Linked DNA regions of Saccharomyces cerevisiae S288C. Changing the gene in region 2 together with the main gene of any one other region gives a genetic interaction. Each region holds a gene or a part of one and is shown on either strand. Other genes may lie near its edges. The genes, in order: SLX5, ASF1, MSI1 and NUP60.

Evidence for each region.
Region 1: mutations in ASF1 (region 2) and SLX5 together harm fitness more than expected from each alone (negative genetic interaction), as found in Saccharomyces cerevisiae (5 studies listed by BioGRID, with this or other methods).
Region 3: of ASF1 (region 2) and MSI1, changing one enhances a phenotype caused by changing the other (phenotypic enhancement), as found in Saccharomyces cerevisiae (5 studies listed by BioGRID, with this or other methods).
Region 4: mutations in ASF1 (region 2) and NUP60 together harm fitness more than expected from each alone (negative genetic interaction), as found in Saccharomyces cerevisiae (5 studies listed by BioGRID, with this or other methods).

What each region holds. Positions count from the first base shown.
Region 1 is NC_001136.10:427,239-431,596, reverse strand, and holds SLX5 (SUMO-targeted ubiquitin ligase complex subunit SLX5), read right to left. Parts: upstream 2,531-4,358; coding exon 671-2,530; downstream 1-670. Other genes in the region: YDL012C (uncharacterized protein), read left to right, coding at 80-124, 211-489; rRNA methyltransferase NOP1, read right to left, coding at 3,250-4,233. UniProt on the Saccharomyces cerevisiae protein: Component of the SUMO-targeted ubiquitin ligase (STUbL) complex SLX5/SLX8 that mediates ubiquitination and subsequent desumoylation of sumoylated proteins and proteins containing SUMO-like domains for their degradation.
Region 2 is NC_001142.9:194,720-197,823, forward strand, and holds ASF1 (nucleosome assembly factor ASF1), read left to right. Parts: upstream 1-1,567; coding exon 1,568-2,407; downstream 2,408-3,104. Other genes in the region: SUN family protein NCA3, read right to left, coding at 1-154. UniProt on the Saccharomyces cerevisiae protein: Histone chaperone that facilitates histone deposition and histone exchange and removal during nucleosome assembly and disassembly. Facilitates histone deposition through both replication-dependent and replication-independent chromatin assembly pathways.
Region 3 is NC_001134.8:609,923-613,563, forward strand, and holds MSI1 (Msi1p), read right to left. Parts: upstream 1,961-3,641; coding exon 692-1,960; downstream 1-691. Other genes in the region: AIM4 (Aim4p), read left to right, coding at 116-487; PGI1 (glucose-6-phosphate isomerase), read right to left, coding at 2,314-3,641. UniProt on the Saccharomyces cerevisiae protein: Acts as a component of the histone chaperone complex chromatin assembly factor 1 (CAF-1), which assembles histone octamers onto DNA during replication and repair.
Region 4 is NC_001133.9:150,475-154,631, reverse strand, and holds NUP60 (FG-nucleoporin NUP60), read right to left. Parts: upstream 2,376-4,157; coding exon 756-2,375; downstream 1-755. Other genes in the region: ERP1 (Erp1p), read left to right, coding at 1-567; transcription factor TFIIIC subunit TFC3, read left to right, coding at 3,466-3,535, 3,626-4,157. UniProt on the Saccharomyces cerevisiae protein: Functions as a component of the nuclear pore complex (NPC).

The DNA.
Region 1 (4,358 bases), on a different chromosome or scaffold from region 2:
TAAAAAGTATTTACGCAACCGAAAAGGATATTAAGACAAACCCATACAATAGCCCATAAACCAAGCAAATACACATCTCATGTCAGCTCAAGATTATTACGGAAACTCTGCCTCCAAACAAAGCGTACGTTAATTTTACAAGTTTTGCCTTTAGAAGATCACATCGTACTAACGAGCCCTTGTATTTTCATTACATCACTTTCGATTCAGTATTCTCGTCCTAGCGCTCCACCACCAGGATATGAAACGGCGTCTAGAGGTTACGCTCCATCGCAAAGCCAACAGAACTATTATCCACCTCAACAGCAGCAGCAGCAGTATCAGCAACAACCTCAATACTATCAGCAACAGCAGCCCCAATATTACCAACAACACCCACAGCAGCCCATTTATGTCCAACAACAACCGGCCAGTTCTGGAAATGAAGACTGTCTAGCGGGCTGTCTAGCGGGTTTATGTTTATGCTGTACTTTGGATATGCTGTTTTAGAGTATCTCCATATCTTGTGGGAGCAAACCCTTTCACACAAATCCACTATATAAAACAAAGCACAATTGCACCTCTGATCTTTTAATCTTAATTAAATAAGCGTGATTAAAGTGTTCATGCAAGTAGATAATATATAATGATGATAAGTTCGAAAATGCCCTTATAAAAATTAAACCGCGTGCTAGAAGTAAACCTCCTTCAACCTGCCTCTTGAACGAATAAGCTTCTTACAAGAATCTGCGGGACATAATTTGGGGCCATAATTATCCGGATGAGCCGAACCCTTTAGTTGAGCTAGTTTCTTTTTGGGCATCTTAGATTTTTTTTTTGCATTGTCAATCCTGGCGAAACACCTACCACAAAATGCATGACCACACGATGCAATAAACGTTCGTTTTGATAAATCTCTATCAAGCATTGATGGTCTGGCTAGGGTTTGGTAGGGGCAGTGGAATTTGTATTTTGACACTAACCCTTCAAATGAAACACCACGATCCTTTTGACTGATTCCAGTAAAATCATCCGGTATTCCGACCCCCAATTCTGCGCCACACAAGCAACAAACAGGAATATCCTCGAGTGTTTTTGCTAAATCGTCATCTGTCACAATGATGGTTTCTTCTTTACCATTTTTCGTAATGTCTAATTTCATTTTTGGCGTAGTATCAAATGACGCGCTATAACCTTCGGGTAGGCTGGCTGCCCTAGCTTCGAATTCTTCCTGTTGGGCTCTGGTTTTGTTCATTAGATTCTTCATGACCACATCCCGCTCTCGTTCTTCTCTCTCTTGGATCATATCAATGATATTTTGAGTGTGTCGTTCCTCGTCAGCATCGCTCAATGCTGGGCCACTCCACAAACGACTTAAGAACCCATCCTCTCCATTGAAATTAAGATAGTTTGTGATTGATTCACGTAATGTGCCACGATGGAAAACTCTTCCTGCCGTTCTTTCTTGTCTTTCCAATGCTTCTCGGTGAAGTCTCAAGGCCTCTTCCTGAGTATTTCTGACCCTATCAATGGCCCAATTCTGCAGCAGTTGATTTCTGAACTCAGTGAAGAGTGCCATTAGTTCTTCTTCACATTCTTGCAAAGTAATTGGAGCAACATTTTGTAAAATAGACCTGAATTCATGCAGTGACTCTGCACGATGAAAAGCACTACGAATATCAGGCGTATATGATTGTATTCGTTCCCTGATTGATTGTAACCTAATAGATGTACTTATATTTTCGTCACTGGACACCCTTTGCTGTTGTACCCTACGTTGTCTTTCTGCAATCCGTCTGCTCATTCGCATACGGCTCTCCCTACGAGCCCTTTGAATAGCTTCTGGTAAATTATGGGTATCATCTGTCCAATCTTCATCGTTTTCATCAGACCGGTCCACAAATAAATTACGGGCTCTTGTAGCACTCCTTCTCAGTAACTGCCTGCGTGATGCGCCTAGATCTTCTTGGAATTCAAATGACCTTCTTATCGGTATGTCTGTTGTCGTCGCAGTTACCTCAAGCCTCTCCCCGCCTGGCAGGTTCAGTGTCACTCTGGGTCGTGTTGTTCTCTCTTCAACTATTGTCAGGCCATCATCACTTTCATTGTTATTACCATTATCATTCAAGTACCCGTTTGTGTTATCTACTTGTATTGTTCTTGGAGTTTCTAACGTTTCAGAACCTGGCTCCTGATCAAGATCGACGTAATGTGCAGAAGGATCAATAGGTCCATCGTCTCCAAAAAACCGTCCAACTTCTCGTATTATAGTGATATCGTCGTTATTAGCTTGAAAATCAGGGCGCTCAGAGCTTGCTGTTATGTGAGTCCGTTGAGAATTCCTGCTCCTTGAATCTGACCTCACAAACCTATTTAAAGCATCACGTCGTCTCCCTACCCGTCTGTCTGGGTACAACCTCACAGGAAGGTTAGCCTCGCGAATAGAAGCGTCTTCTTCCTTATCACTATCTATTAATATAACTGTCTCATTTGGATTATTGTCTGATGGGCTATTATTGCTCTTTGTTCGACCGTTAGTATCGCTATGCATTCTATTATTTCGACTATTAGAGGAGCTCCGCGTTCCAAATAATAATTTTTGGACTGAAATCTTTTCAAAAGTTCACTCCTAGACTGAAGCTCCTAGTGCAAATTTCGACTTGGTTATTACCAATCAACGCAACACACGCTCTTCTTAATGATTAAGTCTTCGTTTTGGTCGCACACTGCCTCTCATCCATGTTAAATAGTAAATATTGCGACCTTGCGTATACAGTGATGTTTCTTATGGGCAAAGCCAAAAAAAAAAAAATACGTAAGAGTGACAGATGAAGAAGTGACACTTTGAACAAAAGACTCTATCAAAATTTTTTCAGATTCAATCCAAGGATAAAGAGAAATCTATGATGTAGTGTTACAAGAATTAATGATATATGGTCATCAAACAGTGTCGAGACTGGAGAACAGCTTATCGATATTGTTCCTACCTTTAAAAAACTCGAAATATGATTATGATTTCTACTTGCTTGCTCTTAACAATTAATGACCAAAAAGTCACCACATATACTCTTTTTTTTTTATATGGCGAATACGTACAATACTTTTGTTCTCTAAAAGAATTTAGTAATATCTATTTTACAAAGTCGAGGGTTACAAAAACTTCAAATAGGAAGTGAAACTGAATGGGGGAAATATATATAAACGAAACAATTATTCTGCTAATAATTGAGCAAGCTACCAGAAACTTTTGACTAATTTCCTTTATTCAACTTATTTCTTCAAACCGCTTCTCATGTATCTACCAACGACGATACAATGGTCTCTTTCATATGGCTCTAAAGTCAATTGTTCTAATGGCTTAATACGTTCCTCACGTAACTTTTGAACTTCTCTAGCAAAAACGGTTTCCGCGTCTACAGTAGAATCAATACAGTTAGCCTTAATGGAGATAACAACACCACCTTGGTCCTTCAAGAACATATGAGAGTTCAATGCAATAATACGAGCTTGATCAGGCTGGGCAACATCTGCGAAGACACAGTCAACCATACCAATCAACATTCTGTATTTTTGTGGGTGTCTAGCATCTTCAATGATTGGGATGATATTAGGTCTCTTCTTTGCCATAGAAATCAATTCTCTGCCTGGTCTGTGAGAAAATTCTACGGCGTAGACAACACCTTCTGGACCAACAACATCTGAAACGTGAGAAACAGAAGTACCGGAAGCAGCACCTAAATATAAAACTTTCTTGCCTGGGGCAATAAATAATTCATCTAGACCACCCATAATACCGGCAGCCAACTTAGATCTGAATGGGTTCCATACACGGTATTCGACCTTGGTTGGTGGGACACCATCTTCCTTAGATGGTTCTTCAACGGAGATTCTCTTTTCACCATAAACTGATTCACCTGGGGCCATGTTCTTGGTAACTAGCAAATCTTCTTTACCTCTAGCAATGTAAACACCGGCATGTCTATGTGGTTCAATAACGACCTTGGCACCACCACGGGCACCACCAGCAGCGCCACCTCTACCACCTCTGGAGCCACCACGGGCACCACCACGAGAACCGCCTCTACCACCGAAGCCGCCTCTGGAACCACCACGGGCACCACCACGAGAACCGCCTCTACCACCGAAGCCACCTCTGGAACCACCGCGAGCACCACCACGGGAACCGCCTCTACCACCGAAGCCACCTCTGGAACCTCCACGGGAACCACCTCTGCTACCTGGTCTGAATGACATTACTGTTTTAGTTGATTTGAGTTAATTTGATCGGAGTTATTGAAAGCAATGGGCAACTTAGATTTATCCGATGAATGATATCTAATTGTTTCTCGAAGAATAACTTATATAACAGTAGTATACCG
Region 2 (3,104 bases):
CGGCATTGGAATCTATGTATTGAGTGACAGTGACAACCGCTGGTTTTTCATCTTTGTGATGATCTTCATGGTGACTGTCCGCTGGAGCAGGTGCAGGGGCAGAAAATGCGACAGAAGAAAGGGAAGACAATATTAAAGCTGCGGAAATTTTCATTATGTGTTAGAGAGAGACGAGTTAAGTATGTGCGACTATACTAGTATTATAATATTAAAGGAAAGTAAGGTACCGTCTATGAGGAGACTGTTAGTTGGATATCAGTAATGAGACGAAAAAGCTCGAAATGAATGGATATATTCTTTTTGCTACTGGCAACTGTTGAATATTTAATGTTAAAACAAACTAACTGAGGTATATTCGTATCTGTATGTACACATATACTATATACAGGAAAAGATAAGCAAGAGAGAGGATATCAACTACGAGAGCGATCGATTATATATCAAAAGCTGTCCGCTTTGCCACCCATAATCGGCGCTTAGTTTCGGAGTTCAATCATAATTCTACCACCTTACACTCAACTTACTCTTTAACTCCTATAGTATAATATCGCCACTGACCCCATATTAAAAAAATTTTTTTGCTCGATCTTCTATCCTCTTTAGGTTAATTGTCGCTGTTATTGTCTAGATTTTTTCTCGGAGATGGCGCATCTATTTGCCGTCAAAAGATCCTCTCATACCATATTAAGTAAATTGCCTCCATTTCTTTTTCCTCGGGCAGAGAAACTCGCAGGCAACTTGCTCTCGAAGTGGTCACGTGCGGGTCTAGGCCTGCATAATCGGCCCTCACAGAGGGATCCCGTTACCCATCTATGCTGAAGATTTATCATACTATTCCTCCGCTCGTTTCTTTTTTCAGTGAGGTGTGTCGTGAAAGAAAACCCACAATTAAACTTTCAACAACCGGGCGACTAGGAAGAGAGTAGTGGGCGCGGATGACGAAGGCTAAGGTCACTTCTTCGTTTCCTTTATTGGGGTTTCCGTGTAGCCTTCCCCTGAATAGTGTGGGACGTTTTATGAGAAGCCGTAAGAAATAGGCAAATTGAGTTATGACAAGTAGACATGATGCCGCAGCCTTGCCTGACTTTACGTCTCCTTCATGAATAAGTTTTTCTATCGAGTTCTTTTCCTTTTTTCGCCTTAATTAGCTCAATTAAGCCTGTCCTCACTACTTTTCTTTTTCTTATCGGCTTTGTGCCACACCTAACCTTCGAATGCTGTTTTATTCCGTTCTTACATGGGATGGTAATGCCTTGGCGAGAATTTCGATTTTCAGGATATTGTCTTGGTGGCGTCTTTTGCTGTTACTATGTGTTTAAGAGAGAGCTGTTCTACAAAGAACTTTTCATTTACGCGTTTTTTCCTTTTTTTTTTTTTCTCATCCTAAACGCGTAAATCTGTTCCCTTTTTCATGTAATGGGCGTACAACCGACGATGGAAAAATGAATCTTGCAATTTTAATACTAACACTTGGAATAACTCCAAACAGGTAAGAGGCTCACAGAATCTCGAAAGTGTAACAGCGTACTCTCCCTACCATCCAATTGAAACATAAGATATAGAAAAGATGTCAATTGTTTCACTGTTAGGCATCAAAGTCTTAAACAACCCGGCAAAGTTCACTGATCCATATGAGTTTGAAATCACTTTTGAATGCTTAGAATCTTTAAAACATGACTTAGAGTGGAAACTAACCTATGTTGGGTCCTCTCGTTCTCTAGACCATGACCAGGAATTGGATTCCATTCTGGTAGGCCCCGTTCCCGTAGGTGTTAATAAATTTGTGTTTTCTGCTGACCCTCCCTCCGCCGAGCTGATTCCTGCGAGTGAATTGGTTAGTGTGACTGTTATTCTATTAAGTTGTTCTTATGACGGGAGAGAGTTTGTTAGGGTCGGTTACTACGTGAATAATGAGTACGATGAAGAAGAGTTAAGAGAAAATCCGCCAGCAAAGGTACAAGTAGATCATATTGTAAGAAATATACTGGCTGAAAAGCCAAGGGTAACAAGGTTTAACATTGTTTGGGATAATGAAAATGAAGGGGATTTATACCCACCTGAACAGCCCGGCGTAGATGATGAAGAGGAGGAGGACGATGAAGAAGAAGATGACGATGAAGATGATGAAGACGACGAAGATGACGATCAAGAAGATGGAGAGGGAGAGGCGGAAGAAGCGGCAGAGGAGGAAGAAGAGGAGGAAGAGAAGACTGAAGACAACGAAACGAATCTTGAAGAAGAGGAGGAAGACATAGAAAATAGTGACGGCGATGAGGAAGAAGGAGAAGAAGAGGTGGGGTCTGTAGACAAGAATGAAGATGGTAATGATAAGAAGAGGAGGAAAATAGAAGGGGGGTCCACGGATATTGAATCCACTCCAAAGGATGCGGCACGTTCAACGAATTAAGAATTTATGGGTTATAAGATTAATGGTACCTGCAAGAGAGGTACACTTTATAAAATGTATAAATAAAAAAATAACAGACATAAGATAAAGTCGGGTTAGGGCAACAGCTACGTAAAAAATAAAAGGCAGTAATATTTTCCATTTAAGTTGATTTTCTTATTATTGTCGTTGAGAACAAAAAGAAATTGGACGAGTCCGGAATCGAACCGGAGACCTCTCCCATGCTAAGGGAGCGCGCTACCGACTACGCCACACGCCCTAATATTATTGATATTGTTGTTTATCAAAGTGAGATACGTCAGTATGACAATACGTCATCCTAAAAGTTCATAAAACACATATGAAACAACTTCATAACAGAACGAACATGTTGGAATAAAAATCCACTATCGTCTATCAACTAATAGTTATATTATCATGTTGGAACGAGAGTAATTAATAGTGACATGAGTTGCTATGGTAACAATCTAATGCTTACATCGTATATTAATGTACAACTCGTATACGTTTAAGTGTGATTGCGCCTATTGCAGAAGGAATGTTAAACGAGAAGCTCAGACAATACTGAAGCTGTGTTAAAGACCTATTAGTTGAACATGTTATGGTAGGTACATATATGAGGAATATGAGTCGTCACATCAATGTATAGTAACTACCGGAATCACTATTATATTGGTCATAATTAATATGACCAATC
Region 3 (3,641 bases), on a different chromosome or scaffold from region 2:
TTCAGCAAATTTTTTTGATTATTTTCAAATATCAAGGAAATATATTACCTTCAAAGTCATCCAATCCTTTTAGTTCTCGCATTCCATCATTTTATACTATATACGTTTGAGCTTAATGGATCAAAAGAAGGACCCAAGTAATAACTTAACAGAAAGAAGGGTTTCCAAGGTCCAACGCCCAAATAAGAAAAAGGTACGAAATCAAGTTGAATCACTTTCTAGAAACCTAGAGAGAAATAAAGAGGGACAGCTTCTGCAGACTGTATCAAAAGGTCATTTAGAAGCTGATTCTGGACACTCACTGGGTCGTGAAAAAGAGAACGGTGAACTCGGTATAAGAAGTATATTTTACGATAAAGACTGGAATCCAAGAGGCACTGCACCATCACATTACAGAAATATACCTTATAATCCTGCCACTTTCAAAAGGCGAACTGAAGTTCAAGCCAGACTGGGAAACCTCGAGAATATCAAAATACCAAAGTGAAAGTTCAAAGGTAATAAATGAGCAACCACTTTCTTCGAAATACAATATTGAAATCAGCATGAAGTCTGAGCGTAGTGTTTATTGTAGCAAGTCTTGAGCATATTTTATAAACTCTATTTATGTTTGTATATTCGTCTATCAAATGGTTGAATATGTAATAGGGACAGGAGCCATTAGCATGCCTGGCTTCAAGGAACGTTTAGGTCACGAATGTCCAACAAGGTTTCCTGCAGGTTTCCATATGTGAACTGAATTATCATTTGCCACACTGCACATTAACCAAGGGTCATGAGCGTCCCACGAAATGTCGTTCACACCGAGCATATGACCACCATGGGTAAATATAGTTTCTTCGCAGGAGGTATCCCATAGCTTGACTAACCCATCTTCTTGGCCAGCCGTTGCCAATACAGTATCGAAATTTGGACTCCATTCTAAAGTTGAAACGGAAGTACCGTGCTCCATGGTAGCGATTGGGCTTTTGTTCATGTTTCTAATATCCCATAAATTTAGCCTCCCATTTGAATCTGCAGATGCTAGAATTAAAGAGTTCTTATAGTTAAATCTACAGGAGTTTACTCCACCATCGTGTTTTTCACGGTTACTCTGGAGCTTCTCTTTCTTAGTCCTCAGATCTAATAGGGAGACCGCATTTCCTTCAGTACAAGCAGCAAAGAGGGAATCGTGTGTTGGCATCCAAGTTACATCATTCACCGCTGTTCCGTCGCTGTTTATTGACACTAAGGGTAAATCTATTATAGGGTTCTCATGCGAATATTGTTTAATGTCCCAAACTTGAACTTGGCCGTTGGAGTGAGAAGAAAGTAAAAGGGCCTCCTGCTGCAAGTTCCAGGCTAAAGAAGTCGCCTCATTTATATCTGCCGAAGAAGTATCCATTGCCTCCACGTCTTGAATAACACCATGTGAACCAAACAGCTTTGTCTCAAAGGGATGTGAAATTTTGGACTGTCTTATTCTAGTAGAGCCGTGTTTTGTTCTATCGAATATGTAGATTGCACCATCTGAAGAGGCGCCGGCTATAATATCTGGATTTTGAGGCAAATATCTTGCCCTATTGCATTCCCCGTTTGGGAAGAAAATACTGATGTCATTTACTAAGTGTTTGGAGGGAAACCTTGTCGAGTTCTCCGGTTTGAATTCCATTTCGTCCATGTCGAAATTATTTAAAGATGACCATTTTATATGACCCAACGTGGATATTTTGCTAATATATATGGTCTCATCTTCAGGTTTTTGGGAAGATGTAAATGAGGATAACAAGATGCGATGCTCATCCGAAGTGGTATCTAAATCAGGAAAGAACTGGCACGTTAAGGACGGCCACTTTGTTGAATTCGTGTTTAGGTAATCATAAAGTAGTTTAGTGTTTTTCTTCCAGTGCGAGTATCTTTCTTGCAAATCGATGGGTATACTGGAGGCTTCATGAGTTATGTCCTTCGCGCACTGATTCATCTTTGAAACTAAATTTGTATATTGTTTGTCAGAAATAGGACCTGATATCCTCCTTTTAAACAGTTGATGAGAACCTTTTTCGCAAGTTCAAGGTGCTCTAATTTTTAAAATTTTTACTTTTCGCGACACAATAAAGTCTTCACGACGCTAAACTATTAGTGCACATAATGTAGTTACTTGGACGCTGTTCAATAATGTATAAAATTTATTTCCTTTGCATTACGTACATTATATAACCAAATCTTAAAAATATAGAAATATGATATGTGTATAATAATATAAGCAAAATTTACGTATCTTTGCTTATAATATAGCTTTAATGTTCTTTAGGTATATATTTAAGAGCGATTTGTTCACATCCATTCCTTGAATTGATTGATTAAACCGTTGGTAGAAGCATCGTGGGTAGAAATGGTGGAGGAGTTGTCCAATTCCTTGCCGATGACTTTAGCCAAGACTTTACCCAATTCAACACCCCATTGGTCGAAAGAGTTGATATTCCAAATGGCACCTTCAGTGAAAGTAACATGTTCGTAGTAGGCAATCAAAGCACCCAAAGTAGCTGGAGTAATCTTTTGAGCCAAGATAGAGGTAGTTGGTCTGTTACCTGAGAAGACCTTGTGTGGGACCAAACCACCAGTGGCACCTTCAGCCTTAACTTGTTCTTCATCCTTACCAACCATTAAAGCTTCAGCTTGAGCAAAGAAGTTTGAAGCCAACATCTTTTGATGTAATTTGTTCTCAATTGGGTTATGAGATTGAGCAGCTAAGATGAAATCAGATGGAATCAACTTGGTACCTTGGTGAACCAATTGGAAGAAAGAGTGTTGAGCGTTGGTAGCTGGTTCACCAAACAAGATAGAACCAGTAGAGTAGTCAGTAAACACGTTACCTCTGGTAACAGACTTACCGTTAGATTCCATTGACAATTGTTGCAAGTAGGCTGGGAATCTGTGCAAGTATTGGTCGAATGGAGCAACCAAATGGGTTTGAGCACCAAAGAAGTTGTTGTACCAGACAGACAACAAACCACCCAACAATGGAATGTTGTCTTCCAATGGGGTTTGGGTGAAGTGGTTGTCGACGGCTTCAGCACCCTTCAAGAAAGCCTCAAAGTTGTCATAGCCAATGTACAAGGCAACAGACAAACCAATAGCCGACCAGACAGAGTAACGACCACCGACCCAACTTTCGAAACCAAACATGTTTTTGGTGTCAATACCGAACTTGGCAACTTCGGTTTCGTTAGTGGACAAAGCAGCGAAATGCTTAGCAATGTGAGATGGATCATTACCTGTCTTCGACAAGAACCAGTTCTTGGCAGTGTTAGCGTTAGTGATAGTTTCAGCGGTAGTGAAAGTCTTGGAAGCAATCAAAAACAAAGTAGTTTCTGGGTCAACAACCTTCAAGGTTTCAGCAATGTGAGTACCGTCAATGTTGGAAACGAAGTGGACATCCAAGACACCAGCGTAGTGCTTCAAAGCCTCAGTGACCATGACTGGACCCAAATCGGAACCACCAATACCGATGTTAACAACATCGGTGATCTTCTTACCGGTATAACCCTTCCATTCACCAGAACGAACTTGTTCAGAGAACTCCTTCATGTGCTTCAAGACAGAGTCGACTTCTGGAGCAACGTTGACACCATCAACGTACATTGGCTTGTTAGCTCTGTTTC
Region 4 (4,157 bases), on a different chromosome or scaffold from region 2:
CGTAAGTGCTTCCACAAGGAATTGTCTAAAGGTACTTTGTTCCAAGCAACTTACAAGGCACAAATTTACGATGACCAATTACAAAATTACAGAGACGCTGGTGCGCAAGATTTTGGTGTCTTGATTGATATTGAGGAAACTTTTGATGATAACCACCTGGTTGTTCATCAGAAAGGTTCAGCAAGTGGTGATTTAACTTTCCTTGCGTCTGATTCGGGTGAACATAAAATCTGTATTCAGCCCGAAGCTGGTGGCTGGTTGATTAAGGCTAAAACGAAGATTGACGTTGAATTCCAAGTGGGCTCTGATGAAAAGTTAGATTCTAAGGGTAAAGCCACTATTGACATTCTACATGCCAAGGTTAACGTCCTAAACTCCAAGATCGGCGAAATTAGAAGAGAGCAAAAATTGATGAGAGATCGTGAAGCTACCTTTAGAGACGCCTCTGAAGCTGTTAATTCTCGTGCTATGTGGTGGATTGTCATTCAATTAATTGTTCTCGCTGTTACTTGTGGCTGGCAAATGAAACACCTGGGCAAATTTTTTGTTAAGCAAAAAATTTTATGATCAGACTAAAAACCTTTTATGTATCTTCTAGAAATTTATAGTTTATAAGAGCCGCTAAAGGTATTCCTTCTTTTTGAGAAAGTGGAAAAAAAATGACTAAATAATATCATCTTGGAATGGTATTTTACACAAACTTACGTATTGAGTTGGGCTATACGGTAATTATGTCACGGCTAAAATTTTCATTATCAAAAGGTATATAGGGACTTGAAAGCCTCAACTTTATTTTCATCAACCAAGCCATTTCCTAGCTGCTTAGACACCACGGGAACATTGAAATCAAACTCTTCCGCCTTTTCCTCTGAAAAGTCGTTATCAATTGAGGCGCTGATATGTTTACCTTCATTATCGTTTTCTTGTGAAAGATTGGACCGTGATTTCTTTTGAACACTATTAAAAACAAAGCCTTTCGATGAACTTTTTTGAGGAGTAACCGAAAGATCTGGTTGGACGGGAGTAGAATCGCCCTTTGTAAGTTCGGTTTTTGGCTTTCCAACTAACGGCTTCGCCTGTAGGTTGGTAAAATTGAATTCCTTTGATGATGCAGATGGTGCGTTCTCGCTCTTATAAGCATTCTCAGTAGGTTCAACGTTTCTTGAAGTATTAAACGAGAAGTTAAAAGCAGAGGATGGAGGTTTATCTCCACCATCCTTCTTTTCAGGTGAGGTTTCAGCTACGACGACATTTGAGCGTAAGGATGAGGACCTTGCAGGTTTGTATTTAGTAAAAGAATCTTTGCTTGGCGCAGATGGTGAAATTTTGGTGGCGTTCAGTTGTTTCATTGGTTCTTCGCCTTGTTCAGGAACGTTTTGAAATAATGGCTTAACAGTAGTTTCTTCTTCACTGATCTCTTGCCTTGGTGCAGCATTTGGAGAAACTCTCTTATGTTTGCGTATTTGGCTTACATATGAGGAGTATGGATTAGCAAGTTCTGAAGCTGCATTATTCTTCTTACTGTCATTTTCATCTAATAGTGAGACCAATGCCGCAGCTGTATTACTTATTTTCTTACTAGGAGCTGACTTTGAAACACCACTTCTTACCGATTTAGCAGATGCTATACTTTGAGCAGATGTGTTGGCTGTGTATGTATCGGGGATCTTTTTCGCTGCACTATATCTATAAACGGTTGTTTTGTATGGTGAGGGCAGGCTAGAATAATTGAAACTGTATTTTCTTGAACCAATGCTTCCCAAAGTCGTATTCATTGACGCATTTGAAGTATCATATTTTGGGTTGAAGGTCGGCGCATTAGATATGCTGATTGGTGTACTTCCTGACTCCTTCAAGATAAGCGACTGGTCGATATTATTACCTTCGGCTGATTTTTGTTCTCCTTCCGAAGTTATCATGGATTTGCTTGATTTTTGTAACAATGACATCACACCCTCTATTTCAATTTCTGATAAAGGCTCATTACCTTTTTTACTAAAAAAGTTTGCAAGCTTTGCATTGGAGATGTTAGTTTCATGTGTTTCATCATACTCCTCTTCTTTATTCTCAATGTCGTTTCTGGCTTCACCCACTGCAGAAACAACTACGGAACGGTTTACAGTAGAATCTGGGGATATCTCAGAATGGAAATAACCTCCAGGCATACTTGAGATTCTTCTGTTAAAAGACTCATTGCGTGGTTGTTTATTAGCAACATTATTCCTTGGACTCACTCTGGCTGAATCTTTTTGGGTAAAGAAAGTTTTAATTTTAGAGAAAAGGCTTGGTTTATTGTGTGCATTGCTAATAATCTGCTTTCGATAGGGAGCGGAAGGCACAGTAGCGCTAGCCCTCCTCAATGATTTACGATGCATTGGATGTCGATTTTAGGATATCTTGCGGTGCTTATTTGATGTAAAGGTCTGTTATTTGATGTTTAAAAGTACACATTACAATAAGCTTTCACTTGTAAATATATCTTTTATTTTCCGAGAGGAAAAAGTTTCAAAAAAAAAAAAAAAAAAAGAAGAAAAATAACTTTCTCATGTAATAAAAGGTAACTAATGTAGACAAAAAAGTATACATTTAGCTTTTCTTTTTTTGATGATTTTTGAGTTTCATGTTACTAATCAGAACAATTAACGACACCTTCATTATGAAAAAATTAATTAGCTATAAGTCTTCGAAGTAGAACATGATATTTGGCAATCACTCGAATAACTATCTTAATTTACCTGCTGAAATAATTTGAAAAAACACCCGAGGCAGCAGACGAAAGGTGTTTTTGCTAAACAATGATTGATTTCTGGCGCCATTTCTACATTCTGAACAGTTCATCTCATTTCAGTAACAGTACTTCAATGGAATATTTATTAAAGAAAGTGCTTAAAAAAGTATTATAAAACGATACATGGACTGACTCAAGATTGAGCTAATAAGGTCCACCGCCTAGTGCTTAAGAGTTCTGTACCACTATAATAATTTATCTTGATCGTATTATGTGTAAAAAAAAGGCGCTTGAAATGAAAGCTCCGAAAATTAAAATACTTTGACTGCTTCGGAAAACAAAAACATATAAATAAATTTAAAAAATAAACTGTAAAATATTTAAAAACTATTAAAAATATTTTATATTTTTAAAATTATTTATTATTATGTCATGTGACAAGACTTAAATCATTACATAAAAGGTTTTGAAGTTCAATGTCAAAGTCAATATAATAAGCATACTAAGGCACACTTATGCAAATCGAGTTATTGAAGCTGGTAAAATTATAAGATTTTTATTTTTATTTCTTTTATTTCTGCAAATCTGCATTTTCAAATACCGCTTGGTTTTTTGCATCATAAAGGGCGGCGCTTTCAGTCGCGAAAGTGAAATAAACAACCAGTCACACATATAACTTTCTTCTTGCCATAAGAGAGAAGAGGACGTTTGGTTGAAGCCAACTAGCCACAAGAAAAATGGTACTGACGATTTATCCTGACGAACTCGTACAAATAGTGTCTGATAAAATTGCTTCAAATAAGGGAAGTATGTTCATGTCTCATTCTCCTTTTCGGCTCCGTTTAGGTGATAAACGTACTATATTGTGAAAGATTATTTACTAACGACACATTGAAGAAATCACTTTGAATCAGCTGTGGGATATATCTGGTAAATATTTTGATTTGTCTGATAAAAAAGTTAAACAGTTCGTGCTTTCATGCGTGATATTGAAAAAGGACATTGAGGTGTATTGTGATGGTGCTATAACAACTAAAAATGTGACTGATATTATAGGCGACGCTAATCATTCATACTCGGTTGGGATTACTGAGGACAGCCTATGGACATTATTAACGGGATACACAAAAAAGGAGTCAACTATTGGAAATTCTGCATTTGAACTACTTCTCGAAGTTGCCAAATCAGGAGAAAAAGGGATCAATACTATGGATTTGGCGCAGGTAACTGGGCAAGATCCTAGAAGTGTGACTGGACGTATCAAGAAAATAAACCACCTGTTAACAAGTTCACAACTGATTTATAAGGGACACGTCGTGAAGCAATTGAAGCTAAAAAAATTCAGCCATGACGGGGTGGATAGTAATCCCTATATTAATATTAGGGATCATTTAGCAACAATAGTTGAGGTGGTAAAACGATCAAAAAA